4 linked regions of the Schizosaccharomyces pombe genome follow. Changing the gene in region 4 together with the main gene of any one other region gives a genetic interaction. Each region holds a gene or a part of one and is shown on either strand. Other genes may lie near its edges.

Region 1 (9,177 bases), 560 kb from region 4:
ATTTCTAGTTCGTTGTTGGAGCAAACAAGAAGTAAACAATACTCGTTATTAGTTCAGATAGTATTGTGGAAATTTCATAATTAGATACAAGTATTTTAGCAATACGTGTTGTCTTAATCCAGCCTTGGTCATGCAATTGAATCACTTGCCAGCCTTCCTAACATATCTTTAATACGTTTCTAAAAAGGGTTTTGGTCTTTACCGATTTAAAATAGGCAATTTCGTAAATGCAAATAGATATACTTATTAACATTTTCAAAATTTAAAAAATTTATAGTTAAATAGCTTTGAGTATTGCAAAATTTGTCTTTTGTGCTTTGCTAAAACAGCGTAACTTTTTACACTGCAATTGAAGCACAAAGACAGTTGAAACTTCAATTCCCTTACAGCTTTTAGTAATTTAAGTATCTAGTTTCATTAAGTTGTCTTTTTTTAAGGGCTTTTAAACTGTTAGTTATACAGTGGTAAACAAACTGACCGGGCTTTCTCAATGATTAAACTGCACTATCATTAAATACAGTGTAGTCAACCAAATTGTTATATTTTTTAATGCAGTCGATAAATTTACATAATGCTTTCAAACGTGAAAGACATCCTTCGTAAATCAAAATTATTGAATTTGTTAATTGTCCCTATGCTGCAAATAGTGCACAGGTAGTTTGTGTTGCAGAATTTTAGTTTCCACCAAGAGGGTAACATTACGCTATATGAGGTAACACTTAGAGGGTTTGAATGCTTTTAGTACATTTCAAAGAACCTTCCTCCCTCGACGTCTGCCAAACGTGTAAACAAAGATTGTTAATCAGTTTAGAGGAGAACATCGAATCTAGCTGAAATGTTTCAAGCACCGAGAGAATCCACTCTTTGTAAGCATCCAATATTGCGCTGGATGGTAAATTATTAACATGTTGTAGTTTTGAGTGGTGAAAAAATCAGTGGAGAGGACGTACGAAACCAAAATGGTATGTTAATTTTCTTTTCATAACTTTTAACATTTTAGTTTTGGCAACGACCGCAATTGCGAATGTCGTCAAATCATCCTTGGGTCCTGTCGGGTTAGACAAAATGCTCGTTGACGATATTGGTGTATGTTAAAGACCTCGTGAAGAAAAGAAAATTTTAGACAATAATGGGGGATATTGGCCTTTAACCAATATTTATTGATTTGATACGCTAGTGTTGTAATCTTCTCGCATTTAAGGAAATCTTAATTGGCAGGGAAGAGTCAACCTTATATTGTGAATCGAATTAATAAGTATTCCTGCCATTATAGTTCATCTTTTATTATATTTTTTCTTACTTTCTTTTATTTCTATCTAACTTGTATTAGGATGTTACTGTTACAAACGATGGTGCTACCATTTTATCATTATTGGATGTTGAACATCCTGCTGGTAAAGTGCTGGTTGAATTAGCTCAACAACAAGACAAAGAAGTAGGTGATGGAACTACTAGTGTTGTCATTATTGCGGCTGAATTGTTGAGACGTGCGAATGAGCTTGTCAAAAACAAAATTCACCCCACTACTATTATAACCGGTTATCGACTTGCTATCCGTGAAGCCGTAAAATTTATGACAGATGTCTTGAGCTGCAGCGTAGATAGTTTGGGAAAAGAGAGTCTTATTAACGTTGCCAAAACCAGTATGTCTTCAAAAATTATTGGTAATGATTCAGACTTTTTTTCAACCATGGCTGTTGACGCAATGCTTTCCGTCAAAACTTCTAATTCTAAGGGTGAGACCCGTTACCCTGTTAAAGCTGTCAACATTTTGAAGGCACATGGCAAAAGTTCTCGAGAGTCCGTCCTGGTTAAAGGTTATGCTTTAAATTGTACCATTGCCAGTCAAGCTATGAAAACTCGTGTTCAGAATGCTAAAATTGCTGTTTTGGATATGGATTTGCAAAAAACTAAAATGGCGTTAGGTGTGCATGTGACGATTGATGACCCCGATCAACTTGAAAAGATCCGTGAACGAGAAGTTATGATTACGCTGGAACGCGTCAAAAAAATTCTCAATGCGGGTGCCAATGTTATTCTTACCACAAAGGGCATTGATGATCTCTGTTTGAAATCCATTATTGAAGCTGGCGCAATGGCTGTTCGTAGATGCAAAAAGGAAGATTTGAGACGTATCGCCAAGGCTTCCGGTGCTACCTTACTCAGTTCATTGTCAAATTTAGAGGGTGAAGAAACCTTTGAAAGTTCCTACTTGGGCTCGGCTGAAGAGGTTGTTCAAGAAAAATTTTCGGATGATGAATGTATTCTTGTCAAAGGAACCAAAGCTTATTCGTCTGCATCAATTGTTCTGCGAGGCCCCAATGAATACTCTTTAGATGAAATGGAGCGTTCAATGCATGATTCTTTAAGCGTCGTCAAACGCACTCTTGAGAGCGGCAAAGTCGTTCCTGGTGGCGGCGCTGTGGAAACAGCTCTGAGCATTTACTTGGAAAATTTTGCTACCTCTTTGGGCTCTCGTGAGCAACTTGCAATTGCTGAGTTTGCACAAGCTTTGTTAATTATTCCCAGAACTTTGGCCGTCAATGCCGCCAAAGACTCTACTGAACTGACAGCTAAGTTGCGTGCTTATCACGCAGCCAGTCAAAATGCTGAGGTTACAGATGTTAAGAAACGGGGATACAAAAATTATGGTCTTGATTTACTTAATGGCGTAATTCGTGATAATGTTAAGGCTGGTGTTCTTGAGCCATCCATGTCTAAGTTGAAAAGTTTGAAGAGCGCCGTTGAGGCATGCATTGCTATTTTACGTATCGATACTAGTATCAAACTTGATCCCGAAAGACAACCAGAAGACCCACATGCAGGGTTGCACTAAAGCAATTACTTAAGCATAGGTATATTTGGCGGGTTTCATTGAATGTATCCAAAAATTTTGCTCCATAGATACAAATGCGATGGATATTAACATATATTAGCACTATAGCTGTTGACCAATAAACGGTAAATTATTAAACTCAGTAAATTACTACTTTGCTAGTGCTTTCATAAACAAAAGTCTAATGCCACTGTATGGATTATTAATGTGCATGCTTATAATATCATAGATACAACCCAGGTAGTAAAGAAATCCAAAAATGTTTAGTTTAAAAAGTCGAAATTAGAATAATTTATCAATGCAATGAAAGATTAAGAAAATGAGAGTAACTTTATGCTCAATTTAAGGTGCTAAGCATTATCGGTAGTCGAGGGTTTATCATCCTCGCATGAATAAGAAAAACCTTCAAAATGTTGCTGCATCTCTTTCGTCAGAATAGAATTAACAGGAGTAAGAACTGGGAGTTCTCGGGTAAATTCCTCATCGAAATACTTGGTGTCCGTAGGTGAATTCAAACTTGGAATGTACGGTGGTTGAGTTCGCTTATGATAGATGTCATCCCAATTAATGTTACTAAAAAATGGATGAGTCATGACATCTTCTGCATCGTTAGGGCCAGATCCAAGTCGTTTTTTAGGATCGCGAGTCAAAAGTTGTTGTAATATAGAAACGGAATCCCTTGGCATATGAATAGGATACAAAGGTTCATCAGATAAAATTGCATCAAAAATTTCTTCTTCGTCTTCTCCTCTAAATGGAGATTGACCAAGCAGCATTTGGTAAATTAGTACACCAAAAGCCCACCAGTCAACGCTTCTCGTATATTGCTGTTCTAATAAGATTTCCGGTGCCATAAATTCAGGAGTACCGCAAAACGTGGCAGTAGTGTTATCATGCCACATGTCTTCCTTACACAAACCATAATCGGCCACTTTAACATGACCATCTGGGCTTAAAAGGATATTATCAAGCTTAAGATCACGGTATATGATACCGTTATCATGAAAGTATTTTAGAGCAAGACACACCTCAGCAGCATAAAACTGTGCCCTTCTACGTGAAAATTGTTCCTGTTGAATGTGAAGCATCAAATCACCACCACTCACAAAATCCATGACAAAGTAAATACGGGTTTCGGTTTGAAAGCAAGAATGCAGGTTTACCAAAAATGGATGACGCTCTCGGTTGGCAACGAGAAAAACGCGTTTTTCGGATTTAGTGCTTTCGACTTCATCGTTTTCTAAGATGAATTCCTTTTTCAAAACTTTAATAGCATACAATTGCTTTTCACTTTTAAGCTCAGCCAGCATTACTTTACCGAAATTTCCTTTGCCTAGCACAGATAAGAAAGTAAAGTCTTCAAGTCCGATACGCTTAGCTTTATGCGTTAGGTCTTGAGCAACAACAGAGGTTTCAACTGATGGTACTGGGATTGGCTCTTTCACAGCATCTAGGGAAGGAGGTTTCGTCAACGCATCAGCTTTGTCATCCACTTTCTGCTCGACAACCTGAACTGTAGCGCCAAGTTTATTATCAGAGACTGATGTCACTTCTAAATTACCGGCATGTACAGGCTTTCTTTTAACCGGTTCAATTGCCAGTGGTTTTGGAGAAGTTGGAACAGGGTCTGCAGGAGTGATAGATGGTGTTGTGGTGGTTGTAATAGAAACGGATGCTTTGTCATTTTCCTTATGTTTCGAAGATGAAGACTTAGACTTTTTATGATGATGATGCTTGTGATGTGAACTTTTCTGTTTATGTTGTTGAGCTTTATAAATTTTAGTTGTACGAATCTCAGAAATAACCCGGTTAGCCATCTCCATAGACATACCACAGAAATCCGGAACAAGATGAACACACTGAGCGTGCGCAGTTATTCCACACTCCGTACATTTCCTGGCAGTTTTTCTTCCTAAAGGAAGGATGTAGCCACAGTGACAGCACCAATTAGCACCTATGTTTGTGTGAGATTCAAAATGATGAGGAATTCTATGGTTGATTTTCTCGTATTCGCTAGAAGCAGAATCGCTAGACTTTGAAATGCATTTAGTAACTACCTTTGGATAGCATTTTTTATGACAGGTGTAATGACAATCAATGCACTGCATACCAGCAGCATTCTTCAAAAACTCTCCACATAAAGCACAACGCATAATTTGATAAAATTGATGTTGTAGAAATTTGTGACCATAAACTTCGTGTACGCTTTCCTTGCGTTGACGGATAGCACCTTGACGACCGAGGCCAGCATCCATAGGTCTCTTCCTTGTATTATGCTTTGTGAAATTCATGGTCAAATTAATTTGTCCCATGGGTTCAAGAGAAAACCAAGCACTCACACTTTGATTACCGCTAGCTGTGTTGGGGCGGTCAGTACTTTCAGGCTTTGAAATATTATTAAGAGCAGAAGGTAAAAATATTGAAAGTCTTTGATTAATCATTTTGTCGGCACTAACCCAACCTTTATCTGAAACCTCTTGTTCAACCTTTTTTCGCCTTTGTTTTTCTACTAAATCCGATAACCGTATCCAAAGTAAACCAACAGGTAATAGCAATTTTTCATTTTTCTTTTCGTAAACAACTATTTCGACCTCATTAGTCTTCTCCAGATCAATTTCAAAAGTTTCATTAAAACGGTCGGTGCGGCTTGGACGAGTACGTGCACGCTCAAGATCCTCTGCACGAATTGCAACTATCATTTCCGTTTGCTTGGAGATTCCAGCAGAATGCGTGACGTTCCTTAGAGATCCTACGGTAATTTTAAGGAGACCAGACTGGGGACGACGGGCATTTAAGTTACCTCTACTTTCCGTACTGGGAACATCTTCCTCATCGATTTCGATATGCAAGTCATGGTATCGCTTCAAAGCTTGCTTGAGTAAGGTAATCTTTTGAGCACTTTCTACATACTTCTTCTCTGCTTCAGCTATACTACGACGGTCATGTTCACGCTCATAGAGCTTTGCCATCTTTTCAATACCTTTTCGATATTGTTCCTCAACAGATAATTTGAACTCCAATTGTTGTAATAAGAATGATATCTTTGAAATAGTAAGAGGGGTATCATAATTTAGCAAATCCAAGTTAGAATCGATATTAGAAGAAGTAGAGGAAAAGCTTTTAGCGGATTTTGTAGTGCTAAAGGATGGATTCTTCTCAATGCCAACGGACGGTTTCTCAGAATTACTCTTTCGGACACCATTTTTGCGAAGCTTTAGTTTTTCTAAGCGTTCTTCTAAATAAATAATGCTCTTTTTTGATTCTTCAATATTGCTATGAAGTTGTTGGTGAACTGTCTGATTCTGAGTCAAGCGCTTCATGGAAAGGGCGCCATGAATAACTGATCTTTCTCTTTCAATTTTCCTAACAACTTCTGTTATAGCCTCATCAATCATATCCATTACTTTAAATGGCCTAATCCTGATTTTTCCGCTTAACTTCTTATCTGCAATTTTTCGCTTCCGTTTTTAATATTAATGTGATTATAAGATTTCATTAAGACTTTTAAGCTCGATAAAATGCTAGTAAACACCCGCTTTAGTCCTTTCGATGTTTTCGTACGTTTAGTAGTTGGAAGGCGGTAGCTATGAAGTAAGACTGGCAAGCTCGCAGGGATTTCGCAAGCAATTCAAAGAATCCCACCACTCCATTCCTTTTTCAAAATTTATTGAAATATATGGGCAAATTTTTCAGCGACCCCTGTTATAATTTCGAAGGATTTTGGCACGTTAATCTTGAAAATAACGATTTTACAGAACTTTACCCCATAAATATTTTTGTCACATGTCCAATTTTATTTGATTGATGCTAAAATTGTAATAACGCAAAATAAAAAAATATTGACCAATTAATAGAACAGTTCATTATCCAGCTATCTTATTTGTCTTTTGTTAGTTTTACGGAATCCCGTCAATAATCGCGGGTACGTTATTGTAATCCATGTAATTACTATGTTTGCTGATATTCTTTTAGTTTGCATATCTTTGGTTTAATAACTTTATAATTTATTTATTTTCTCGCTTCATTCAGAAAAGATAGAATTCTCGAATTTGAACGAACATATTAAGAAATTTTTGAATATAGTAATCATCGTATCGTTCATGTCTGATGGAAAACGACACAGGATGGTCTGTGAAAAGTATGTTATTAGTATGATTATTTGGGTCTTTTGCTTGCTAAACTATTAGAATGTATTGATATATTTGGAGAATTTTGTATGTGTGCAACTTTGAACTTCCATTTTTGCTTACAATTCAGTGCTTGTAAGCATTCATTGTATTCTTTACGCTAGAAGACTCTATCCTCAAGGTATTCGATTTTTTAGCTTTTGATTTAACTCTCATATTAGACCTTTTTATAAAAGCTCGAAAATACAATACAATTGTCTGGCAATCAAGGCATCCGATCTTGTGCGAATATATTGAAGAAGTAGTGCAATCTTGTATCGAGGAGCTTCAGACGGTATTCTTAGTCATCCAATTCTTTTTCTAACTGCTCGTCTAGGGATCAGTACATCAAGTTGCACTCTCTATTATTAACAAAGAGCAGCGAGAAGAGGAACGATATGTCTTTTCAACGGATTCTATCCCGATTATTCCTGATTTCTTACTTGAGAAACAGTATGACTATCATTAGCTTGGCATAGGCATCTTTTAACAATATTGTAGAATTTCAACAAATGAGCCATTCACAGATGCTTACGTTGAATACATGAGAGCTTCGCTCATCCAATTACTCAATATAACAAATGGACTTCCTCTTATTGAACAAGGTATAAACAGTATTATTTTCTAAAAAAATATTCTATTACTAAATTCAATTCTAATAATACTGAAATTAGAATGCACTTGGACGCTTCGGGTAACGCTAAAAGATGGTTTTCCCAGACCAAAACAATGGGAAGAGTGGTTTCTTCCGCCGCAAGCGAGAGAAACAGACGCAACAAGGCAATTTAAGGGCATCACCATTCCTGTTCGAAATGTGGATATTGGACCAATGATGACGGAAATTTGGGTCGAGAAATATACAAATTCGGATTAGAGGTATCTCTAATTTTCTTTTCAGAATGTAGTGCAAGAAAAATGGGTATCTGCTATGAAATAAGAGGGGATTAGGTAAAGTAAATAAAGAATCAGTTTTGCGATAAAGGATTATCATTATCAATGAAAGAATTATTAATTTTGAAGTAAAGGTCCCTACCAATAAGAATTATAAATAGTTAGAAAATGTGCCTTACTCTAGGCCCAACCATTTTTTGCAATTCTCATATACCAGATATGAAATAGCGACACTAGGTGCTACCTTCAACAAATTAGGAGACAATCCTTTATAAAGCCCACGGAAACCTTCATTTTTTGTAGTTTTGTAAAAGCAGTCTATAAATCCATCGTATGTTGCAGGATGTGCAGACGTACCTTGCGTTTGTAAACGAGTACGTATGACATTAAGTGGAAACACTATGGTAGCGCCAGTGCTTCCAGAAAGTGCTCCAAATGCCATCACTAAACCATTAGGAAGTTTCACATCTTGTGGATCGACATTGTCACGACTTGCTAAGATACCTATCCATGTCCTCTTAAGGCCCTCAAATGTTCCCAAATCTGTTGCACTGTATGGAAACATACCCAGTATGCCCACGAGCACGCCTCTGTAATAACCCCGTATCCCAACGCTTTTATAAAGTTCCTTTGCGTTGGACAAAATAATGCTTTTTCCATGCTGACCACGAGATAAATCGCTGCACTGAATGCGAAATTTCAGAGTATCTACCGGATATATAAACATTTGAGCAACTGAACCAGCCATGCCACCGGCTAAGTAAGAATAAAGAGGACTATGATTTTCAGAGCTTGAAGATATTCCAAGTACTCGTTTCATCGCTTCATATGTACCAAATTTTATGGAGGATTCAGGCATCACCTTTAAAACATTAATGCCATTTCCCACAAAGAAGCTACGTATCCCATTACGGTTCCATAAAACTTTAGTGGTATGTAGCAAAGTAGCAAAAGGATACTTCGGGGAAGGTTTAGAACCAGTGTCTGAAATCAACATGACTTTTAGCCGATCTAATGGCGCTGTACAGGTACGAGAGACGATTCCAGCAATCCCTCCGCTAATGAAATAACCAACGTTATTTTTAGGGTCATTCTCTAGTAACAGATCACCGTCAGGTAAATTCTGTAAACGATGAAAGACGAGTTTCATATGCGGAGTATCATGAATCCAACTTGCAGGAATTATTGAATCATGTTGATGATGCGGATGTGGGTGCAATTTCCAATAGCCATGTCGAAATTGATGCTCAAATTTCTGTTTATGAATGAAGTTTAAATTATCTA
Region 2 (9,213 bases), on a different chromosome or scaffold from region 4:
CTTCTCTCTAATCCAAGCTCCGAGATGCTGGTGTTACACAGTATATGGGGGCCACGCATGTCGATGATTGTAATTCCACCATCCTGATATCCTATACAAACAAAACCAATATTGCTCATTTGGTTCAATGTTACTCTTCCTCGTTTAAGATCAATATAATATTGAGCATGTAATGTTCCCTCTAGAACTAAGGTATCGTCCAAACGATATATTCCGTTAGCGAGCTGAGCTGGTAAATTTTCTTTATGATTTTTCCTTTTGCAAACAATGACACGCCCAAAACTATCAGCACAACTGAATTCTGGATTATAAGTGGAAAAAGAGGCAGTAGTTATAAAAGCTGAAGGCGTGAGATGCTTTCGCATTACAGAAGAGAAATCCAAATTTACGCAGAGAGATGGATTCATAAAACCCTGAGATATATCCCAAATCGATAAACTAAGACCAGTCGATGTTATAAGTAGATTACGCTCATCTAATTTCTTAAGATAGCCGGGACTAGGAGATCCGCCAAAAAGACAGGAGTAATGTGAATTAACGGAAATAGTATCTTCAATTTGATTCCAAACTTTTTTTGTTACAGTTTGAAATGCTATAACTCGAAAATCTGAAGCAAGGAAGCATAAAGAGGGGGGAATAGAAAGGCTCATGTTTGAAATATTTCCAGTAGAAATGTCGAGCAGCGATAACGAGTTGTCTTCCGAAAGAAGGAGAAGATTCTTGGGATTATGAGATCCATTGTAATGTGGTGAGCTAGAAGGAATCACCAGCATATCACGTACAGGGGGGATGTCAATAAAAGGAAAAAAGCGTTGTGAGTTTGGATTTGCGAAAAATTCCGCAAATGTTTCAACATCCTTTTTGGCAGGGAGATTTCGATAACTGAACAATGAAATTCCCTTTACCGGTGCTTCTTTCGGCAAACCACCTAACATCAAAATAAATGAAACTGTTGGGTCTTCACAACAACACCACCTCATAGACCTAATGGGCTCAAGCTCCGTCTTAGGAGGATTTCTCTGCATGGGGGTATACGTGTGTATGTTTGAATCGACAAAATTTCGGACTTGTACAGGATATTCTTGATCCACATCCCAGAATGCAAAAGTCGAATCAGTATAGTAACTAACAAAGTGATCACCCCAAGGACTCCACTCTATCCCTTTGACTATAGGTCTTCGATAATTATGGGGTGATAAAACTGCAGCTGTACTACCTGGTGCATACTCCAATTCATAAAAGCGTATAACTTCGTCAGTCCTTATTGAGTACAAAACAACGCCATCCGGATATGCAATCAAAATCACACCGAGATCCTTCGGGTGAATCTGAACGCTTACAACTGGGGATAGCTTTCCAGGAACTGGTGCATAAGAGTAGCCTGAAAATTAGTAATAAATTCAAATAAACAACAATGACCTCAACGTACCCATCATTCGCCATTCCTCGTGTCTTGGGACATACAAATTTGGAACTTTGAATTTTCCAAGGCAATGTCTAGTAACATCCCATGGCACAACGGAGCCATCACTCATTCCAAAAAAAACCCAATCAATAGTAGGATCCGTTACGGTACATGTAACTTTTTGCTTGAGAAAGTAAGTGGCAGCTGGTTTTGAAAGGTCACGATGTTTCATCAAGGGATAGCTTAAGACCGTATTTCGAGAGTCAATTACAATCAAATACGCCGCACAAAGGGCTATATGGACAATGGTTGAACAGTCTGGAACTATCACACTCTGGACATGCTGTTTACCGTAAATGTATATCCGATTAGTACTAGATACAATAGCTAGTAAGCCTTGTTGATGGTCTAAACACCATAATACTGGATTTAAGGAAAACCCAAATCGATTCAACTAATCTTTGTTATTAAACATTCAACAAGCATTGCTTCCCTACTTACGTCGTCTATCGATAGTGAAGCATTTGAAGACGTATGGGTCTTCAAATTGGATTTGGATAAAATTTCTTTTCCCTTACTTAGCTTTTTTTTAAAAAAGCTCATATTTTCCCAATTCTTGGTATAAATATACTAATCATGTTATACCCTCGTAGCATATACAAACTCACGCTCAACTCGTGTTAGAGAACGCTATTTTTGGATAACGTCTTGTGCCGTTAAACCAATAATAATGTAAGCTACGCAGTTTGGTATCTGATTTAAGGATACGTAAACTGCGGTGAGTTTTCCTTGTAACCTATTATATTACAATAAACAGGTTGTATGAGTAGCAACTGAGTATTGTATTAACTGTGTTATAATGTTACCTATCACTAATATAGCTCATAACTGAACTGAGGAACGAGGTTCAGTTGTAACGCTATTTATAATATTTCTAAATAGTTGTTATCAACTGGTAACTAGTATATAGATGGATAGTTACCCGTGATTATCAATAAACGGATCTTAGCTAGTATTCCAACATATGACATATAGTGATACACAACGTAGTGTATCATAGCGTAATGTAGTATTGCTGACAAATAATGAGACTTCTAATTTTATCCTTATAGCACTGAATTCGACTTTGCATCATTCACTAGTCAAACCGCAAGCGATTTTGAGCGGGCCTAAAGCCAGACACCAAGCTGGAGATTGCTTGGTTTACCCGTGAAGGTTTATAGAATCGAAATATCAGTTTTACATTGATAAAGTATCTATTTTTAATTCTCTATTATTTTCTAACAGGCTTCTGTGGAATTGGCGGTATCATACGGGCTGCATGTCAAAACACATGGGAAGTCTTTTTGCAATATCTTTAAACCCTGAGTACTAGTGATTCAACATTTCTCTCCTTTCTTAATATTTTATTTACCTGCAAGAAATTGGGCTATTACTAACATCCCAAGTCTGTCTTTTGCAAATTAGTTCACTCGTTTCAGCCGAATCTTAATTTTTTTAATCATAAACTACTTAAGCAGCAATCTCCAATTCGTTTGACAAAAAAAAGGTTTTTTATCTTGAATTCTTTTCAAAGTAACTAATACTGTTCTGGGTATATGGCTGCCGATATCGGATCGCAGTCATCAGGCTCTTTGGAAGAACGGTTTGAACAGTCTCTTCATCTTCAGAATGTCGATAAGCAAGATTGGTCACTTAACAGTGTACTTCAGTTTTTAAAACTATACAAATTTAACAAAGAATGGGAAGACGTTTTTATTAAAAGTCGAATCGAAATGGATTTATTTATCAATTTGGCCGATCAATCAAAAGCCGAGGAATTCGCCTTTAAAAATAAATTGAGCAAGGAGTCTGCCATCCAATTGAGTAGCTGTATTCGCAAAACACTTTTAGCACCTTCTTCGACTCGCGTACCTAGCAAAAACTCGTCTTACGAAACATTAACTTACAGCGCCAAAGATAGTTCGGATGACGTTTTTACAGAAACTAACTCTGGTTTCCGCTCTTCAAATCAAAATTCGTCCCTCAAAAGCTTTCAGAGTGTTCCTGATAGCAATGTGAACGTGTTTGGTGGCTTCGGTGGATCAGTAGTCGACAACAATGAGCTATTGAGCACAGGAAAAAACTCCCATCAAACAACCTCTTTAAATTTGGAAGGCTCTCCTATAAACTTACACGCTTACAAAGGAACTGTCACTTCAATAATTAACGATGACAGCAGAAACATTAATAAAAAAACATTGTCGAAACAACCTGTATCCGAACATAAAGAAAAACAAACTAGCTTTCTCCGTCGTTTCCGGGTACCTGGGTTTTCTCGTGACAAGGATAAAACTAAAGATTGCCCTTCTTCAAATTCGAACCCATTCCATTTAGCTTCTTCAAATGTGAAAACATTAGACGCGTCTTTGGATCAAGGTGAGTGGGTACCTCGTATTCATCGTTTAGAAAGTCAAATTGGTTTAATATCCAAAAAGAAGTCATTTGTTCTTGCTACTATGGATGATATGAAATTCACAGTAGTGGATATTACCAACGTCCAAAATGCTACTCAGCTACGTAAGCTAATAGCTAAGAGTATGTATTTAGACATTTCAATTGACCAGTTTGATTTGTTTCTCACGGAAGTCGGCGGGGCTCAATACATAGAAATATTAGATGATAGAAAGCTTGATATTGCAAGGCTTTATTCTGATGAATTTGGAACTATTAAATTTTTCGTAAAGCCATCACAAAATGAAGAATCGGGTATGGATAGTGATACTTATTTATCTTTTGGCACAAAATCAAGTTCAACTTATAAAGCTGATGATGACTCAATATATCATCGCAAGGAAGATTTTAAAAAGCAACCAAGTTACCCTGTGCTTACTTCGGATTTTGAAATTACTGATGCAGGACCTAATTTATCATTATCAGGGCATCAACCTGATAATAAATACTACAAAGGTTTTAGTTCGGCACCGAATTTGGCAGTTGTTCCAGAATTACCATCTCGACGTTTTCGAGGGTTTGAAAAAATCCGTGGTGCTAAAGGAGAAATGGCTACAAAAATTTTGGATGCCACTGAAGCCCAAAGTGAAAAAAACAAATTTACCGTTTGTAGACCTCACAAGAAGGTCACATTGAAAATGCCACTTAATTCCGGCTCTTCCGCTCCCCAAAGTCCTTCATCTAATACTTCTGCTTCTGTTTTAACTAGAAATTTTGTGGCACATAGAGATCCTCCACCCCCACCCACAGAGACATCTAGTTTACGTCGAAAAAATACATTGACTCGTAGACCAAGTATTCGTCACGCTCGGTCCTCTCCTTACATTGATACCGGACATAACGAAGCTAGCAAATTTTCACATACGTCTTTTGACCCCAAAGCATCTAGTAAATCTTCTAATTCATTAAAGGAAAGTGTGGAAGCTTTATCAGAAATACCTTTTGAAGATGCGCCTGCACTAGACGAATCGGATCTTTCTGGGGATCCCTTTTGGGCTATACAGCCCAAACAATCTTCCTCCCAAGTACCTAAAGAAAATCATCACAACATTCAATCCAAACTTTCCATTAACACAGAGGCTGCTACGGATTTGAAAGCAAATGAACTATCTTCGCCTAAAACTCCTGAATACTGTAGAGGTGATGACAGATCCATTAGTTTATCACCGTTATCTTATCGTTTAAGAAAGTCCAAACATATTCGTGAATCCCCACCGTCTTCAAAGGTTATCAATTCTGGTAACTGGGAAGTTCGTCCATCTGCTGATGATCTTTATGAGGATGTTGATCGATTTTTTCCCCGTTATGATTTGGATAAAGTACTTGTAGTGGACCAAAGCCGCATGGTTTCTTCCCCTTCAAAGGTATCGATACGTCCGAAAATGAAGTCTGTACGATTATTAGCCCGCGAAGCATCTGAAGCTCGGAAAGAAATACGACATAACGCGAGACGCAATAAATCTGGAAATCTTCTACGTCGATCAAGTACGAAACTTTGGGGCTCTAGGATTGTAGAACTAAAACCAGATACTACTATAACTTCTGGATCAGTTGTTTCACAAAATGCCACGTTCAAATGGATGAAAGGAGAATTGATTGGAAATGGTACTTATGGTAAGGTATTTTTGGCTATGAACATTAATACGGGTGAATTGATTGCAGTAAAGCAAGTTGAAATACCACAAACTATTAATGGCCGTCATGACCAATTACGCAAAGATATCGTGGATTCCATTAATGCAGAAATTTCTATGATTGCCGATTTGGATCACTTAAATATAGTGCAATATCTGGGTTTCGAAAAGACGGAAACGGATATAAGTATATTCCTGGAATATGTTTCAGGTGGTTCAATTGGTCGATGTTTGCGGAATTATGGTCCTTTCGAAGAGCAACTGGTCCGTTTTGTATCACGCCAGGTGCTCTACGGGTTGTCTTACTTACATTCTAAAGGTATTATACATCGAGATTTAAAGGCTGACAATTTGCTCATTGATTTTGATGGAGTTTGCAAAATTTCAGACTTTGGAATATCTAAGCATAGTGATAATGTGTATGACAATGACGCAAACCTGTCCATGCAAGGATCCATCTTTTGGATGGCACCTGAAGTAATTCATAATGATCATCAAGGATATAGTGCTAAGGTCGACGTCTGGTCCTTGGGATGTGTAGTGTTGGAAATGTTAGCTGGTCGTAGACCGTGGTCTACAGATGAGGCTATCCAAGCTATGTTCAAGTTAGGTACCGAGAAAAAGGCGCCTCCTATTCCTAGTGAATTGGTGTCTCAGGTATCACCCGAAGCGATTCAATTTTTGAATGCATGCTTTACTGTGAATGCTGATGTAAGGCCAACCGCAGAGGAATTATTAAATCACCCGTTTATGAAATGTGACGAAGAATTCAACTTTAAGGACACGAATCTTTACGACATGCTTTGTAAAAGAAAGAGCTAAATTGGTCGCAATTATTATTTATTACTTAGCGTTTCCTCGCAGGGGCATGCATTCTCAATTTCTTCTTATAGCTATTTATTTAATATTGAAATTAATTTTGAAAATTATTACATTATTATACAAACAAACATACATGATCATTTTCAATTTCTACAATGTATTTAAAAGTAAATTTTCATTTTGTCAAAATTGTTTCGTTTATTTAAAATTAAAACTGATATTAATAAGATGTACTCTTCCCGTCTGAAACCTTCCTTTTTTTGAGTTCCCTAGTATTTCGCTTTGGTAAACTTACCTTGTTAAGAGGATTAAAACCCCGTTTCCCAAATTTATTTTTTCCTACATCAGAGTCTAAGTCAGCAATAAAATTCTTTTGATTTTTATAATCAAAAGGTGCTTCATTGATAATTGGACTGTCATTAGAAACATGTTCGGCTTCAATAGTAAGTTTTCCGCTGTTCTTCTTTTTCTTCTTTTGCTTCCGTTTTTTTGACACTGAAGTTGAAGCTTCCGAAGGTTCAATATCTTCATTTCGCTCCTCTATGGGGTTTGAGGGTTCTTTATGATTAAGCTTAGAAGAATCCCTTTTTTGCTTGTTCAGCCCTAAATCCCTAATGACTATAGGCTCTTGTTTCTTCTCTCCATTCAGACTCGGGTTTGCAGCTTCAGTTACAGTGGACTGCTTTACATTCAATTCGGATTCAACATGCCCTTGAGTACAAGGAAGAGTTAATGAAAAAGGAATATTCTGGTTCACTATAAAGAGTCTCTCTTTACGAGCTTTCCGTAAATCATCTTGCGACTGTCCCTCAATCCAAAACGCAGATCCATTTGCCAGCAAAGTCTTTAGTTTACTTCTATTTTGTTTAGAAATCTCGAAAACACTGGAGTCAACTTTGTAATCACCCAAAGTATTCGATTCGGAAAAAACTGCTAGCGGTTGATTTTGCTTCTCAACTTCTTTAAATTGGGATTTCTCACGATCTACTTGCTCATTATACAACTTTTCGGCTTCTTGAACGACTTTAACGATATCTTCAACATACATGCGAGCAATTGGTGTCAATTGCTTAGAAATTGAAAACACATCAGCCGCTTCAACCGGTTTACTGGCGGCAATCGCAATAAGTAAACGATTTGGCAACACATAGCGAACACTTTCATCTTCTTTTCGGGCTACGGAATCTCTCCAATCGTGCAGTGCTCGATAAATCATCAAAGCTTCCCGTCCAATTATTTTAGAAGAGCCAAACTTAGTAAGTACATTTCTCCAGCCATCAGTACCAAGTCCATAAATAGGATCATAAGGCTCAAGTTCATACTTTCTAAGAGATATTTGTTTACTGGAATTGAACACTGATTGCATAAGATTTTCTTTTCTTTCAGCTGATTTTGATATGAGTTCATTTCGTAAATGATCCCAAATATATAACAAATAATGCGTATCAGATTGAGCATATTTTAACATTTCCCGAGGCAAAGGACGGATTCTCCAATCAGCCATTTGGTATCTTTTATCTGCATCATAATCACAATACTTTTGTAACAGAAAAGCCAGACCATGACCCTCAAATCCTAAAACTTTAGTAGCATAGTATGTATCAAATAAGTTTACAACGTAAAGCCCGAAATCTCTTTGCAGCCAAATGATATCCATAGTTGCACCATGAAAAACTTTAATGATATTTGGATTAGTAAAAACAACATTCAAAGCTTCAAGCTCTTCGCGGAGTTCCAAGGTGTCAACAATCCAATCTTTTTCTCTATTACTAATTTGCATTAGACAGACGAACCCTCTAAATGATCTGTAATCATGGTGTTCAAGATCAACGGCTATTTCTTTGCTGTTTTGTAATTCTTTTAGCATATCCGATAACTGACTTTCAGTACTAACCCAGATAGGTTCTGTTTCGTCGACAGAGCCAGTATCGATGGGATTAGACATTTCTGAAACCCATGGAGGATATACGCTATTTTGTATTTCTGGTTCATATGGATGTGGTAACGAGTTTTTGAGACTAGGGTCCAATTTGACTTGAGCGATAATCTTTTCGAGCGGTACTAACGAATGTGGTTTTTCAGTTAACTTCCAAGACCACACAAACTCCCTGGAATTATTAGGCTGTACTCGAAACCTTAATTGAGGCTTAGTAAGATGAGCTGCGTGAATAACCTTGTAGGGCAACTTTTCTTTCTTTGGTTTTTTATTGGCAACATCGCTTGTCGACGCATGGGTTTCGATCGCTGGCTTTTTTAAAAGTCCTTGAGCTTTATCGATAGAATAGTCCTATATTCATACGTCTTAGTTAAATAAAATCCGTTTACAATTTCAAAAATTCACTTACAGCTTTTTCAAAGAGTATGTCTAATGTGTCCGATACTTCTGCCCATCTATTATCTATATCTTCAACGTCCACAATATCCTCCGCCCGACTTCTGTCTACTTTAGAAAGAAGCAATTCAATTAATCTCATAAAACGAGAAGAAACACTTTTTATGTTTTCATTGAATTCGGTATCAATTGATTTATAAAACGGTATATCAACCTTTGCCAATTCAGAGCAATAGGCTGTACTATTCATTAAACCCTTAAACAATTCTGACTCATCCATTATGCTATTGTTTACCCTACTGGATCAGTAAGGTTTTTGGTTTGGTTCAGGAATTTTCAAGCACTTTTACCACACGCTCAACGAATTACCGAACTTGAATATAGACATCGTTAAAGTACGAAATACAAGAGCTATTTTTATATATATAAAATATTTTACACAAATGCAAAATCTTAGCAGAATTATGTAAAAGCAATTATTTATGATTAGTTCAAAATTGTGAAACTATTAGCAGGCAACTATAGAG
Region 3 (6,990 bases), on a different chromosome or scaffold from region 4:
TACCTATCACCACAATGGCAGTTCTTCGTCAATTCGTCAAGAACTCTTACTCTTCAATTCCCAAGCGCTTTTATGCGCTTTCTGCTAATCAAAAAAAGGTAAAGAAGTTTATTTAAACGCGCTTTTTTGGAGCAAGCAATGACTGTATTTTCTATCTGTGCTGTTTGCTACTATCAACAGGCGATAGATTGACTTGCTCAAATGATTTATGAAGTGTTCTAATAAAGTTCTAACGATAATTAAGTTACTCAAAGCACCATTGGCAGAATGTGATCCGACAGTGTATAAGATTTTGGAATCTGAGAAAAGCCGTCAGAAAGAGTCGATAGCTTTAATTGCTAGCGAAAACTTTACTTCAAGAGCTGTGATGGATGCACTCGGAAGTATTATGCAAAACAAATATAGTGAAGGCTATCCTGGTGCAAGATATTATGGTGGTAATGAATTTATAGATCAAGCTGAAAGACTATGTCAAACGAGAGCTTTAGAAGCTTTTCATTTGGATGGGGAAAAATGGGGAGTAAATGTACAACCCCATTCTGGGTCTCCGGCCAACTTACAGGCTTATCAAGCAGTAATGAAGCCACACGATCGCCTAATGGGTTTAGATTTACCCCATGGCGGTCATTTATCTCATGGTTTCTCTACTCCCCAGAAAGCTATTTCAGCTGTCTCGACTTATTTTTCCACCATGCCATATAACGTAAATAAGGAAACTGGTATTATTGACTATGATAGTTTGGAAAAGGCTGCGATACAATTTCGTCCTAAAGTTATAGTTGCAGGCGCTAGTGCTTATGCACGACTCGTTGATTACAAGCGTATGCGTAAAATTACGGAAATGTGCAATGCCTATTTGCTTTGTGATATGGCTCACATATCCGGTTTAGTAGCTGCCGGTGTAATTCCTTCTCCGTTTGAATACGCCGATATTGTTACTACGACGACTCATAAGTCTTTACGTGGACCGAGAGGAGCTATGATATTTTATCGAAAAGGTACTCGTTCTCACGATAAACGTGGTAATCCAATTTTATATGAATTAGAGGATAAAATCAATTTCTCAGTTTTTCCTGGACATCAAGGCGGCCCCCATAATCATACAATTACTGCGTTAGCTGTCGCCCTTGGACAAGCAAAAACTCCTGAATTCTATCAATACCAAAAGGACGTTCTAAGTAACGCCAAGGCAATGGCCAATGCATTTATTACTCGTGGCTATAAGTTAGTTTCAGGTGGCACGGATACTCACTTGGTTCTTGTTGATTTGACCGACAAAGGTGTAGATGGTGCCCGTGTCGAACGTATTTTAGAGCTTGTAAATATTTCTGCCAACAAGAATACTGTGCCCGGAGATAAGTCTGCTTTAATTCCACGTGGATTACGTCTGGGAACTCCAGCTTGCACTACTCGCGGTTTTGATGAGAAGGATTTTGAGAGAGTGGTAGAGCTAATTGATGAAGTTGTATCTTTGACCAAGAAAATAAATGAAGCTGCTTTGAAGGAAGGAAAATCGAAGTTTAGAGACTTCAAAGCATATGTGGGTGATGGTTCTAAATTCTCTGAAATCGCCAAACTGAAGAAAGAAGTTATAACTTGGGCTGGAAAATTTGATTTCCCCGTTTAAGCTGTCTCTAACTTTTTGGCTCTTATCTCATACTTATCATCTGTTACTTTCTCTTATAAAGGATATATCATGGAAATTAAACATGAGCTGTATGAATAATGAAAATATCTGGACAAATTCTCTATTAAAGTAACCCTACAAATATCATATAATAAACAGAGGTAATAATGTGTTACACTTATATGCTGCATAGGAATGGGGATAAAATTATGCTGAAGCGTGTATAAAGAAGGACGGTAAATCCATAGTAGACAATATTAGCATTAGGCAAAATATCTACCCCTTTATTAAAGGATACAGCCCTAATAAATGGTTGACTAACCTGCTAAAGATTTCATAATCATAAGGCACCTTAAATGTTATAAAGGGGTGGAGTTTTTAAATGAAGAGAAACGAGGTAAAATAATGGTACGAATCCGTGATAACCATCTAACAACATTGGGAAGAAGACTTCTTCTTATTAAGATCATTCATGGTAGGGGCGATATTAAGCGTTTGACCAGCTGTAGGATGAACACCGTCGTCTCCAGCCTCGAGTGATCTGTTGGAGACAATTCGGAAAATTTCTACGCTAGATTAGTAAAACTTGAAGAAATCAAAGCAAGTACGAATAAACATACCAGTCAAAACTGTTTGGAAAGCTTCTTCAACATTGCTAGCATCCATGGCGGAGGTTTCAATAAAAGATAAGTTATTTTCAGCTGTAAAAACATTAGTTAATTATGTTCAAAAAATTATGACGAATCAGAGGCAAACAAATGTGCTTAATAAACAGAGAATGGAATCGACAAGGTGAATAATATTTCAAAACAAAAAGAGATCTTCTACGCTTCAAGCAGTTCAAAATTGCTAAAAACGATGAACGGAATAAAGTGAGAGCGGCTAAAGCCGGTTTCACTACTTCCCGTCCGAACAACTCCATATCTCACCAACAAAATTACTTACCAGCAAATGCCTGGGCTTCTTCAGTAGATACAGCTCTTAAATGTAGTAAATCCGTTTTATTACCAACAAGCATGATAACGATGTTGCTGTCTGCATGCTCACGAAGCTCCTTTAACCAGCGGCCCACATTATCGAATGAAGATTGTTTTGTGATATCGTAAACAATCAGAGCACCAACAGCACCACGGTAATAAGCTGAGGTAATGGCCCGATAACGTTCCTGACCGGCAGTATCCCAGATCTGTGCTTTAATTTTTTTGTTGTCAAGAACAATATTTCTAGTAGCAAATTCAACACCAATAGTACTCTTGCTTTCGATATTAAATTCATTCCTAGTGAAACGCATAAGTAGGTTTGACTTTCCAACACCACTATCCCCAATCAGCACAGTCTTGAACAAATAATCGTATTCGTCCTCTTGACACATGGCTAAGTTCTCTATCGGTAAATCTACGAACAATTTTTGTTAACAAATATTTAAGGTCAAATAATATCAAGGTATATACCTGTAAATTACAATGAACCCTGCTTTCGATAGTCGAAGAATTTACTTAGTCGTAGTTTGTTGTAGGTAAGTTGCAGAGGGATATCAGAAAACCTAAGGAAGTAATAATCCTTTATCATGGTAACAAAAAAAAGTCCACTAGTGCCACTGGCCGTTAAAATGCATATAACGCATTCCAATGATTCATTAAATAATTATACTGCGTTACAAAGAATGTCGTAATCATGAGAAGGCTGGTGTCGTTTAGTGATTGCTATCATCAAAATCATTATGCTGTTGTTCACTATAAAGCGCTATTTTGTAAACATTTTAAAATGCCTTTGATATAAAGAAGCGCAAGTACTCAATTGAATGCAAGTACTATCAATTATATGAATGACCGATTGAACCCAATCGCAAAACTGGATATGGACGGGTTGGTATGGGTTTTTACAGTGCGATTAGTCAGTACTATACCCATTTTAGTCCTGCATCAAACAATGATGTAGAAATTCTTTGAAAGCAATGTTTTGATTTCCAAGTTACAAAGTTATCTAGCCAAAGAAAGAATATTTTAAGTTCCGGTTTTTTCAGCAGCTTTTTCTCACTTTTATAATGGTCACAATGATCGAAATTAAAAATTTGAAAGAATAAAATTGGCGGCTCAATTGAAATCTTTTTCTTTATGCAAAAGTTATACAATGTTGGATGCTGCTCATGGCATGCAGGCATCCTTCATGCAGAAAGTTACTTGAGTAATCCATCGAATAATTATCGTTGGCAAATCTTGGGTTAACAAGAAACAAAAAAATCCTGCACATAAACAGTTTTTCTTATTAAGTTCATTTCATGGAAAACGAATAACATAGTTCCGTAATAATATAAGTAAATGGATCCCTTGGTTAACCTCTATATAAAATTAATGCAAGCAATTATCAAAAGAGGTCGTGTGGTTTAGATGGTTATAATTTCTGCTTAACATGCTAGTTCGCAGACGGTCCCAAGTTCGAGTCTTGGCACGATCATTTTTTTCTATCGTAGTAATTATTTACTTTTCTTATTGTACTACCAGTTTTGGAATGATATGTTGTGTTGAATTCGTTTATATAGAGTTAACACATTTAGAGGTATTATGTATAAACGCATCGTTTAATAAATTGCAGCGCTCAAAATCTACTCATTGTAGCTTTTTGAAAACAAAATTCATTATTTGTTTAAAGTTTTTCTAACTTACACAACCACCCAGAAAATAAAATTAGAAGTTCAGGAGGAATGAGAAAATTTTAAACATTTATCAATTTACCAACAAAGTTTTTTGACTACTAGTACCTCATGTATGCAACTAGTAACACTAGTGGTTAGTGAGTATTTTCTCAAAGTACATATGTCTCCATAGGTGTCTTCAAATCTGCAACCTCAACCTCACACACTTGATTAATGCAATAAAACTCCAAACCCAATCGAAAACTTATTTTTTTGTATATTTAACGGTTTGCGTTGGTGACACGACGGTAAAATCACGCGGATTTTGTTTGATTCCAAAATTCGAGTGCATAAGCCATCTTGCTTATTGCAGCGAGACTTCGAAATTCTAACATCTAAAAGCTTCATTACTGGAATTATCTGTTGTTATTCTTGTGTTCCATTGGTAAAAAAATCACAAGCAAAAGGGAAATATTTGAGCCATTTTAGAGGTTATACTCTGCCCTTCATGCAACTATAAAAGTAGTTGAAAGGGAAGAACTTTGGCTAATAGTTTTGTCAAGGAATCTATTCAATCTTGCTTAATTCCGTTTTTTTTTTAAATTCATATCTTTATCCTTTTATATATTTTTTTGTTGTAATACTTCAATCTCTCTTAGCGACACGTAGGTGAGCAAAAAACCCGCTACCTTGAAATGGTATCTGTTAAACCACTTCCTGATATTGACTCGAATGAAGGTGAGACAGACGCGGATGTTTATGAGGTGGAAGATATCCTTGCTGACCGCGTAAATAAAAATGGCATAAACGAATATTATATAAAATGGGCTGGCTATGATTGGTATGATAATACTTGGGAACCTGAACAAAATTTATTCGGTGCGGAAAAAGTGCTTAAAAAATGGAAAAAACGGAAAAAGTTAATTGCTAAAGGCTTGCTTGAACCTTTCGATGCGGAAGATAATGAGGCAAAGAAAATGAAGAGAGAAAAGGAGATATTGAGGCAACAAAGACAAAAGCGCAAATCCGAGCTTACCCAATTATCTCAAAAAGTCAAAGAAAAATTCAAAAAGATGCGTAAGAAGCCTGCCCGAAGGATTGTAACCATCGCAAATGATGAAGAGGAAGAGGACGATCAGACAATGGATGAGGATGCGTTTGAGAGAAAAAGTATGCAAGGGGAATTGAAGGAGAGGAATTTGACCGATAAAACTAGCACGCTATCCACATCGTTTGGTGAAACTAGCCCTGATGTTAATCCTTTCTACTTATCAGAGTGGCCTACAGTTACCGACAGTATTTTATTGTCCAAAAGCCTCTCCAGCGATGCAATACCTTTGAAAAATGGCGAAATTAAAAGCACAATGTTGATGCCCAGTGACTCTGACAACTCAGTTCCCGGAATTCAAAATTCGAACAATCTTGAAAATACTGGCGCTTTTGTTGAAAATGCGAATTCACCACAATCTAACACCCCCTTGTCAACCTTTAGGCATTCAAGCCCTTTAAGTCTGTCGCCAGTAATAACTTCCGATAATGATGTTGCCAATTCATTATTTTTTAGCAATTCGACTCCTCTTCCTTCCTCTTTGAAGATAAAAAAGGAAGCACCGAAATTAGAAACGCATACGATATTAGTTAGTGATAATTCTGGTTCTTTAACGAAGCAAGATATTTTATCGTACTTTGCTTTTATCAAAGGAAATATTGAGGTCTTTTTTCTCAAATCACCAAAGAAAGACAAAGTTTGTAATATGGCCTACATTCAATTCGATTCTATCGAACAAGCCAAACTTGCGTATGATAAAGGGCATCCAAGTTGGCATGTAACTTTAGTAAAAGGGAAGATATCAACTGATATGGAAGAATGTAAAGTCTCAAAGTCTATTTTAAAAACAACCCCTTCAAAGAAAGCAAATGCAAGGTCCGTTTCTTTTACACAAACAACAACAGATACCCTTTCTGAGTCGGAAAAATTTGCTAGCAATGTCGATCTGGACGAAAATTTCGATTTCAACGTAAACGTGACGAATGAAGATGCTAAGCAGCTTAAGAAAAGTGTTATCGGAAGTAGTTGGACTACTGTTAATAACGACTGGAACAGTGTTTCTAAAAGCGATCAAACTTTTGAAAATGATGGAGCTAGCAAAGTAGTTCCGGCTGGTAATATTACTTTAAATTCGGATAACTCTCTTCACCATTCGATAAGCGAATCCGAAGATCTTTCTTCAGCAAGCACATTGTCTGATTATTTTAGATTCGTTTTGCGAGTCGGAAAATCTCTCTACTATGCTGGAGAATTGTCATTTGATATATCCAAGCTTAAGGCGGAAACTGAACATCAACAGTTGTTACGAAGTTTAGTCAGTTGCAAGCAAGTAGATGTTTTACGTTTTGTTACTTCACAATATCTCGAGGTATTTGGTACTTGCTTGACTAAAGTTCTTTCCGGAAGTCTTTGTATTCGAAGCGATGTTGATATGACTCACTTTAAAAATATACTAAACCGCGGCAACGGTGCTGGCATCGTTCTGGGTAGTAACTATACATTATTATTATTTACAGAGGATAATAATGCTTTAATGAATTTATACGATTGTCAAGGCCAAAGCAATAGCCCTTTTTGGATGGTGATTTTTGAACCTTTAGAATCAATCCTAGTCGAATGGTCGGCAAAAAATCTAAGGCCTAAAAAGCCATATCATAAATCCCAATCTTACTTGTCTTATTT
Region 4 (7,806 bases):
TTACTATCACCGATGTCTTAATTTATTTAAAGAATATTTCTACCAATCATTAAAAACAAGACTTTTGGTTCTTTAAAGTTGTTTGTGCCGCTAATGAAACTTAGACTACGGTATGTATCATATGTATAAAATATCGTAAACTCATCATTTCCAAATTTATTATTAGCGTCGATGTCATTTGTAGCATATTCAAAAATATTTAGGGTAGGGTTTTAAAATTTTGATCGATACAGGATGTTTCTGTGGTTATGTATTTAGCCTCAACATCATATAAAATTGGTGCGACAGCCGCAATTAAGTTATTATTTGTATGCTTTTTTGCTAATAAATATCCTAAAAGTGTAACTGGAGCAACTAGCTAGTACGTGTTTTGGGAATTACACTCACAGCGCACATATAGCATTGGAAGTTCTTTGTATGACTATATTCTAAAATGTCTCCTACCCTTGTTGTTGATCAAGAGAATTCGGAAGAATTTAACACCTCCTCATTTGAAGGTCCTGAAAAATTGCTGGAACTATGGTTTTCGGCTCCTATAAAAACCAATTTAAGTGCGGGTGAAAAGGCTAACTTGGGACTAAAAGCTGTTTCTCGCAATGATTGGGATGATATGCTAGCCCAAGCCCAATGTAAAGTCCTCAGCGTTGTTAATAGTGAAGAAATAGATGCATATTTACTTTCTGAATCCTCTATGTTTGTGTTTGCCCATAAAATTATCCTTAAAACATGCGGAACCACTACACTACTGGCTAGTTTGCCTCGCCTATTAGAAATTGCTTCTAGTGTTGGCTTTGATCGTCCTCTTCGTATTTTTTACTCAAGAAAAAACTTTTTATATCCCGAACGCCAGCTTGCACCACATACGAGTTGGGAGGAAGAAGTTCGTTACTTACAACTGTTTTTTCCAAGTGGATGCTCTTATGTAGTGGGTCCGACAAACAAGAATCACTGGCATCTGTTTTCTGATCTGGCTGATGATTATTCTTTACTGGAAGATTCCCTTGATCCTGAAGATGAGACCCTAGAGGTACTCATGACTGATATGTCTCCCGAACGCTCGCTTCAGTTTTACGCTCCATCCTTGGATGTTGTTCGGAGCGCTAGAGGTGATGACTATGTTCGAGAAAAAAACAATCTCTCGGGGGGTCACATCCTTGGCAGTTATGTAGCTGATGAATCGGGTGTTAGAGACTTATGTAGTACCTCTGATAAAAAAGCAGTGCTTGATGCTTTTCAATTTGAGCCAATTGGGTTCTCGTCGAATATGATTTACAAGGACCGCTATGCCACAATCCATGTTACGCCTCAAGAACATTGTTCTTATGCTTCATTTGAAACAAATGTTTCGCAATTCCAATTCGGAAGATCCATATCTGAAACAATCGAAAAAACTGTTAAAACTTTTGGTGCAAACAAATTTTGTCTTACCCTTTTCCAGGCTAAAGGTGCGTCTCAAGAGAAGCATTTCTCGGCCAAACTTAAATCTTTTAGCTCTTATAAGCGTGAAGAATTTATAGTGTATGACTTTCCTGGATATGATCTTATATTTGCCAGCTTTACTGCAGTATAAGTTCGGAGAACAGTCAGCTAGATATTTTAAATTATCTGTTGCTATATTTATTATCATTCTTTTTTACGGTGGAGCGTGCCATGCGAATACCCCTTTTTACAATCTTTCATTATGCAAAAAGTAGTCGTCTTTTGTTTGCTTGTTTTATAAAAGGTTTCATAGTTATGAATACCAAAAAGTTTATTATGAATATCTAAATGCAATGCTTATGTATCTAGTCATCGGTTATCTTGTATTATGCTAAAGTAAACTCATTTGCTTTCTTTATTTTGAGTGTTTAGATATTTGTTGTAAGTATGCTTAAAACCTCGGATCAGGTTTATGCTCATTGAAAAATTCCAACTAAAAAACGAATATGCGCAGGTTTTGGTATCTACAAAGAGCTTTTCTTATCTGCAAAGCGTTCTACCAAATGATCGATAGAGGTATCATCTTCAGACGAATTCATTACTTCTTCGAAAGCCTTTAAATCCGTAGAACGTCGACGGCTATTAGATGGCGGTAAACGTTCATTTTGGATATCCAGCTTACGAGCATCATCGAAGGAATTGATAGCATTTTTGATACCCTCAGCTCCCAACATTAAAGTACCCGCAGGTAATCTTTGCGTACCTGACACGTTTTTCAGTTCCGAAACACTTTCCCGTTCTTCTCTAAGCACACTGAATACTCGAGAGATACGGCCAATAGCCATAATCTTGTTTTTAATAATTTGCCTACGAGCTTCAATATCAATTTCTTGGTCGGCTTTATTTTCATTCTCAGATGGAGCAGGCTGTTTATGCTGAGTCGGAGCCGATTCTTTCAAATCCGTTTCATAAAGCTCCTCCTTAGAACATATATTGAGCATTGAAATCAACATTTCAGAAACTTTTTCGCCCACAAATGGAAGACTCCAAGTAAAAACATCCATAAAGTTAGGAAGCCAGTAAGGATGAGGGGAACAATTAAATTGTCTTATATTCATTACATTATTTTCGTATTTCAAAACAGCAGCTTTATTATTGTAAACATCCAAATAGTTGGGTGCTGAAAATATGGTCATCAAAGATGGAAACCCGGTTGTTTTAGTTTTGCGATACATTCGATAGCCCACATCTTGAGCTTCATGAGCACGAATAACGGAGAGGAGATTATTGTTTTCTAAGAAGGTGCAAACAGCTTGGTAACTATAAAAGTAAGAACAGCCACGAACATTATTATGAATAAAATGCTTGTTTGATTTTTCCGATCCAAAATCTTCAAGGGGATCAGACCAGAGTAAATCACACATCAACCCATGAGTTGGAGGCTCACAAAAACGATTGATCATTCGTATATCATTCAAAGTATGTAGTTCGGGTGATAATCCACCATGTACACATAAAAATTGCTTATTCATAATAGCTGCCAAAGGAAGGGCATTAAAAGATTGTAAACAAGCTTCATAAACTTTAATATTATACTTATGAGTACATTCTAACTTGAAGGTAAAATAGTCAGTAAGATGAGCGCATTCGTGATTGCCACGAAGCAACCAAAGCGTTTTCGGATACCATATTTTCAAAGCCCACAAGTACAATAAACACTCAATTGAGAAATATCCTCGATCCACGTAATCTCCAAGGAAAAGATATTGGGTATTTGCTGGATTACCTCCAACTTCAAATAGTTTCATAAGATCATAATATTGGCCGTGAATGTCACCGCATACTAAGCTGTCAGACCGAAGAATATTGCAATACAAACAAAATATCGACCCAAATTAAAATGAAGGAAAAACATAGTCATAAATTACATTTCAAAGTTCTAATATTTTACCTTATAGTAATTAGGGCCTAAATATGAAAGGTGATAATCAACATACCAGTGACAGGTGCATCCACCTCAATCAAGTTGTCTTCTGACTTCAAAATTTCTGTAGCCTTTTTTATAATATACAACGTTTGTTCCTCAGATAAACGGCCTTCCCGAATGAAATGATTGCGAAGAAAATGCAAGTCAGGTTTATCAGGTTCATTAATATCAAAAAACTCCACGTCCGTCGGAATATAAGTTGCTGGTGCTTGAACATCTTTGATTGTTAATAAGACTAATTTCTTTCAAAAATATCCGTACTTTTCACTACTCTATCCAGTGTGCTAACACTAGAGCCATCTTCTTGAACAAATATTGTAAAATCATGAGAAGGAGCTTGATTTTTTTGGCGAATTGCTCGAACTATTGGGTCTTCTAAATTATGAGGACCCGAAGTCATATTAGTAACTTTTGCAAGCCTATATACAGCCTGGGTAAAATGCTAGATATTCTTGCAAAAAGTTTTGGTAGATTCTGGTTTGTTATACTTACATCGTCCCGGCGGTTTTGGAAAATGGTTTAACGAAAAGCAAAGAAATTCGTAATTGCTTTTCTCAATGAACCATGTGAACAAAAAACATATCTGTTTACAATTCTAAGTACTTTTTTTTTTTTTTATAATATAGATATATTTCATCATAATCTTTACTTCTGTATATTTAAAAATTTACAAACAATCGCCGCTTAGACAAACATATCTTAATAACCAATCGTGTTAGTAATAAGAAATGAACTTGTAGAAAGGGAACCCAAATACTACCTGAATTCCTTCCTAATTATATTGCCTTGCTCATTTTTGAGAGAAGCAAACTAAGTTGATTTGATGAAACTTACATTCCATGATTACCTAACTGAAATAACGATAGTTTTATTGATAAAATAAATATCCATAAAACACTTTAAGAGTTAATAATCATTTTATTTTTTGTTTAGACGGCTACGTCAAATTTTAGGTTATTGTAAATATTCTTTGATTTCTCATCGCTTTCCGTAGTAAAGAATTAGACAAAAGCGATTTTTAGAAAGAATAAGCAAAATAAATGTAAATTTGGGTATTTTATTAGAAGTAAAGGAAATAGAAAAGAGTGTTGCAAGTGTGAAGATATATGCAAAAACTAAAACATATGTAAAATTATGGGATAAAGCCAAAGGAAAGAAATGAATAATGCAACAAATGTAAAAAATTAACCATATCTTACAAACTTTTATGCTCTCAATAGGACATTGGAACACTTCTAAGAAAGAGAATTCCAAAGCACACAAAAAAGCTTAATCTTTCTTCTCGGTGGGTTTGGTAACAGAAGAGGACTTGTCATTTTGAGAATTATCAGATAGCGTAGTAGCTTTGGTAATTGTACTATTATTAGTAGGTTTTTGCTCATTGTTTGTATCGGTTTTAAGGAAACGTGTAGCATCTAGTATTTCAGAGGCTTGTGGGTATTTACCTTTTTCTTGAACCCCATGGACAATATCGGTAAATGACTTAACAAACGATTCATTTTGAGCGTTCGGTACTGGCATAGCAGATGGGACTTCTGGTAAGCCAAGTTTATGCCTTATGGTGGATGAACGCAAAAATGCCCCTTGAAATACACTGAAGACATTGCTAGGAAACCAATACATAAAAATTGCCATAGGAAAATTCATAGTGAATAGTGGACTGGCAAGGCAAAGAAATCTAAAAAATTTTTTCATTGAGGGAGACATAGCAACCTTATTACTTCCAGTTTCGCTACCAAGCTCTATATTGAGCAGCATAAGAAGGCCGTTTGCAACCGGAAATATGTGTAGAGGATCAGGCTGGGATAAATCATTAACCCACCAAAAACCACCATCAGTGAAACCCTCTACAGGTACACCCGCCATTGTCTTCAACGCGTAAAAAAAGCTAATAAACAGAATTCCCTGAAATACAGGAGCAGAAAGCAAATTCAAAGGGTTAACATTGTTAACTTTATAAAGGTTTTGGATTTGAGTGGTAGCTTGCATCATTAATTCGCTGTTTCCTTCAGCCTTTGCTTTACTCAACACACTCATGTGTTCAGCAACCTTTGGGTTAATGATAGCGAGCTTTGCGGACGTTTTCATCATCTTTAACATAATAGGAAATACTGCAATTCTCATAGCAACAGCACATGCAGCAATTGAAGCCCACCAAGGAAGGCCGCTCCAAATATGAAGCGTATTAAGGCCGTTTTGGAGGATATTATGAGGTAAGAAAGAAAAAGATGCTAAGACGGAGGACGACAATGGCAGACTAGGAGTGTAAACCACTTTCTCGGACCTAGATTTGGGGAAAGAAGTCGAAGAGTTGTGAATTTTTATTAAGGAAGAAGTACGCTGATTTCGGCCAAGCTTAGCAAAAGAGAAATTCTTAAAAAATGTATTATGTGTGTGGATCTGGCGAATCTTCGCTCCTTGTGTAGCAATCAAAAAGCATGATACCGAGTAATGAGATTTCGAAGAAAACTTTATTCCTCTTCCAATGACTGAAAACATGCTTGATTAATAGTGAAGCTCGAACTTCAAGGATATATGTTTTTACAAATCGAAGAACCAGCTAATGTTTATCCAAGATACCCAAAAATAAAATGAAGCGATTAAACCCAAAAAAACATATAAATAGATCCAAAATCCTCTAATAAAAATTTAATTGCAAGTTAAAAGTGGGTAAATTAACTGGTAAAATAACCTGAAAAGGTAGTAGAGATATTGAAATTTAGTTGTGTGCGCGTTGGCACACGGTGTAGTGTGGTATCTGTCGTTATATAAGTAAATACATACTATTTTTTGACTATTTATAATTAGATTGTTTCACACAGTTAAATCTGACACAAGCGTCAAAGTCAACAATGAAAATAAACTAGCAAAGCGATCGTTTGACCAATAATGACATTGGTTTATGTTACAAAGAAGTTAGTGATACATGTGTTTTTTGATTTAGAAGTTATGGCAAAAGCGGTTATTGATTCTAAAGAGGATATAAAGATTTAAGCGAGTTCTCTTATTTTTTTTTTTTACATTTCCTTGGTATATTGAGAAACGAGTCTTTGGTTAAACATGAATAGAATATGACTATAGTACATGTTTAGTTATAGTGAGTAATAGTGGATATTAATACTAACGAATTGCAGTGACAATACTTATGAATTGTCAATATTAATGAAAGATAACGATTTATCGTTATACTGTCAACAAATTTAGTATGTGTATTTACTGCAATAAATTGGCAATACTGTACGACATCATAGTACCGTATGTCCTACTTCCTAGCTGTGCTACTTTTGTAAAGCCAAATTGGAATTTAAGTAAAGGCTTCCATTTATAAAATTGTATTTAGGTTGTTAGCATTACCTAACATTTTGGACTATACCAGTTACTAAAGCTTTTAAAGACAATTTCCGACATCGAACAGAAAGCATATTTTGCAGAAGTTGATTGCTCTTATTTCTAAAGGCGTGTTGTGAATTAAAGCATTTCCTTTCTCAAATCTAAACTTTCATATTTAGCATTATATTGTAATCAATGGGATCCGCGGAATCCAAGTTAGTACTCGTTTTGTTCGGTATTTCGATTACTAATGCCTTTTGTTTATAGAATTTCTTTTCGTCATGCAATCCTTGCTTCTTTAAATACTAAGCCCGAGCGTGAAATTTACGAGTTTGTAAGTTGGTACACTTTGGAAATTGTTAACATAGCAGTTATTTACCTGCAACTTGACTGAAAATGATGTTTTCAGTTTTATTCTTGCTCAGGACATACGCATTTGCAGGGATAGCAACAAGTTTGACAATTTAGCCATATTGTTGCAAGTTTGTGTCCTTAACATCGTTTCAATTCAAAACAAGTTTTCAGAGCAGTATCCTTTAAAAAAGAATGCTTTACTAAATAGCTTCCTAATTCTTACACGGCTGTTACCATATCTCTATGAATCTACTAACTCCAGCAATTGGGTGCGCACGTATTTTCAAAAAGACTTCTCTCAAACCGTAGACGATTTAAAACCACTACTAAGCGAGTTGGGCTTAAATTACGAAATTGAATTACCGAACTCTTTCTCTAACTTGACTTCTCTATTGTCGTCAACTTTTCAGCTTTGCTTTCAACACGAATTTACTGTTTCAAAATATGCCTCTTCAGAGGAGAGCATATGGTTGGTCAATTTGAAATTTGAAGTATGTTCTTGCTAACTTCTTTCTTCAGGTCAGCTGGTATTGCTATCCCTGAAATTGCTCATCCACCTTCGTATGATCATCGACTGCATCAGTCCCTGCTTTCCTGCTTTCTCGTAGTTCTCCTTTCAAATACTTTATACGATTCTATCGGTATGTAGGTTTTTGTTATTAATACGGCGGGCTAATCCTTAGATGAACTTGACTTCTCAGTGCTCAATTCAATTG

Evidence for each region.
Region 1: of ppb1 (region 4) and pck2, a mutation in one rescues a mutant of the other (synthetic rescue), as found in Schizosaccharomyces pombe (2 studies listed by BioGRID).
Region 2: of ppb1 (region 4) and mkh1, a mutation in one rescues a mutant of the other (synthetic rescue), as found in Schizosaccharomyces pombe (3 studies listed by BioGRID).
Region 3: mutations in ppb1 (region 4) and ypt3 are lethal when combined (synthetic lethality), as found in Schizosaccharomyces pombe (2 studies listed by BioGRID).

Annotation. Positions count from the first base shown.
Region 1 is NC_003423.3:2,306,601-2,315,777, forward strand, and holds pck2 (protein kinase C (PKC)-like Pck2), read right to left. Parts: upstream 6,409-9,177; 5' UTR 6,238-6,408; coding exon 3,187-6,237; 3' UTR 2,837-3,186; downstream 1-2,836. Other genes in the region: chaperonin-containing T-complex alpha subunit Cct1, read left to right, coding at 836-866, 915-962, 1,001-1,086, 1,331-2,836; DNA polymerase zeta Rev7, read left to right, coding at 6,944-6,974, 7,024-7,050, 7,094-7,144, 7,185-7,297, 7,340-7,455, 7,504-7,607, 7,677-7,876; SPOM_SPBC12D12.05C (calcium-binding subfamily carrier protein), read right to left, coding at 8,069-9,177. UniProt on the Schizosaccharomyces pombe protein: Involved in the control of the cell shape. Target of the inhibitor staurosporine.
Region 2 is NC_003424.3:610,639-619,851, reverse strand, and holds mkh1 (MEK kinase (MEKK) Mkh1), read left to right. Parts: upstream 1-2,576; 5' UTR 2,577-3,003; coding exon 3,004-6,354; 3' UTR 6,355-6,483; downstream 6,484-9,213. Other genes in the region: sro7 (Lgl family protein), read right to left, coding at 1-1,381, 1,430-1,859, 1,907-2,008; exosome 3'-5' exoribonuclease subunit Rrp6, read right to left, coding at 6,575-8,641, 8,700-8,966. UniProt on the Schizosaccharomyces pombe protein: May regulate cell morphology, cell wall integrity, salt resistance, cell cycle reentry from stationary-phase arrest, and filamentous growth in response to stress. Activates the MAP kinase kinase skh1/pek1 by phosphorylation.
Region 3 is NC_003424.3:2,211,824-2,218,813, reverse strand, and holds ypt3 (Rab11 family GTPase Ypt3), read right to left. Parts: upstream 3,143-6,990; 5' UTR 3,079-3,142; exon of another isoform or gene 3,023-3,078; 5' UTR 3,000-3,022; coding exon 2,573-2,999; exon of another isoform or gene 2,438-2,572; intron 2,329-2,437; coding exon 2,248-2,328; intron 2,194-2,247; coding exon 2,057-2,193; 3' UTR 1,680-2,056; downstream 1-1,679. Other genes in the region: serine hydroxymethyltransferase Shm2, read left to right, coding at 15-98, 245-1,627; heterochromatin (HP1) family chromodomain protein Chp1, read left to right, coding at 4,955-6,990.
Region 4 is NC_003423.3:2,869,997-2,877,802, reverse strand, and holds ppb1 (calcium-dependent serine/threonine protein phosphatase calcineurin catalytic subunit Ppb1), read right to left. Parts: upstream 3,882-7,806; 5' UTR 3,807-3,881; coding exon 3,668-3,806; exon of another isoform or gene 3,624-3,667; coding exon 3,417-3,623; exon of another isoform or gene 3,263-3,416; coding exon 1,944-3,262; 3' UTR 1,694-1,943; downstream 1-1,693. Other genes in the region: S-adenosylmethionine decarboxylase proenzyme Spe2, read left to right, coding at 434-1,570; oxa102 (translocase Oxa101), read right to left, coding at 4,676-5,905; SPOM_SPBP19A11.07C (uncharacterized protein), read left to right, coding at 6,932-6,951, 7,004-7,070, 7,108-7,559, 7,610-7,731, 7,774-7,806. UniProt on the Schizosaccharomyces pombe protein: Calcium-dependent, calmodulin-stimulated protein phosphatase. This subunit may have a role in the calmodulin activation of calcineurin. Appears to be involved in cytokinesis, mating, transport, nuclear and spindle pole body positioning, and cell shape.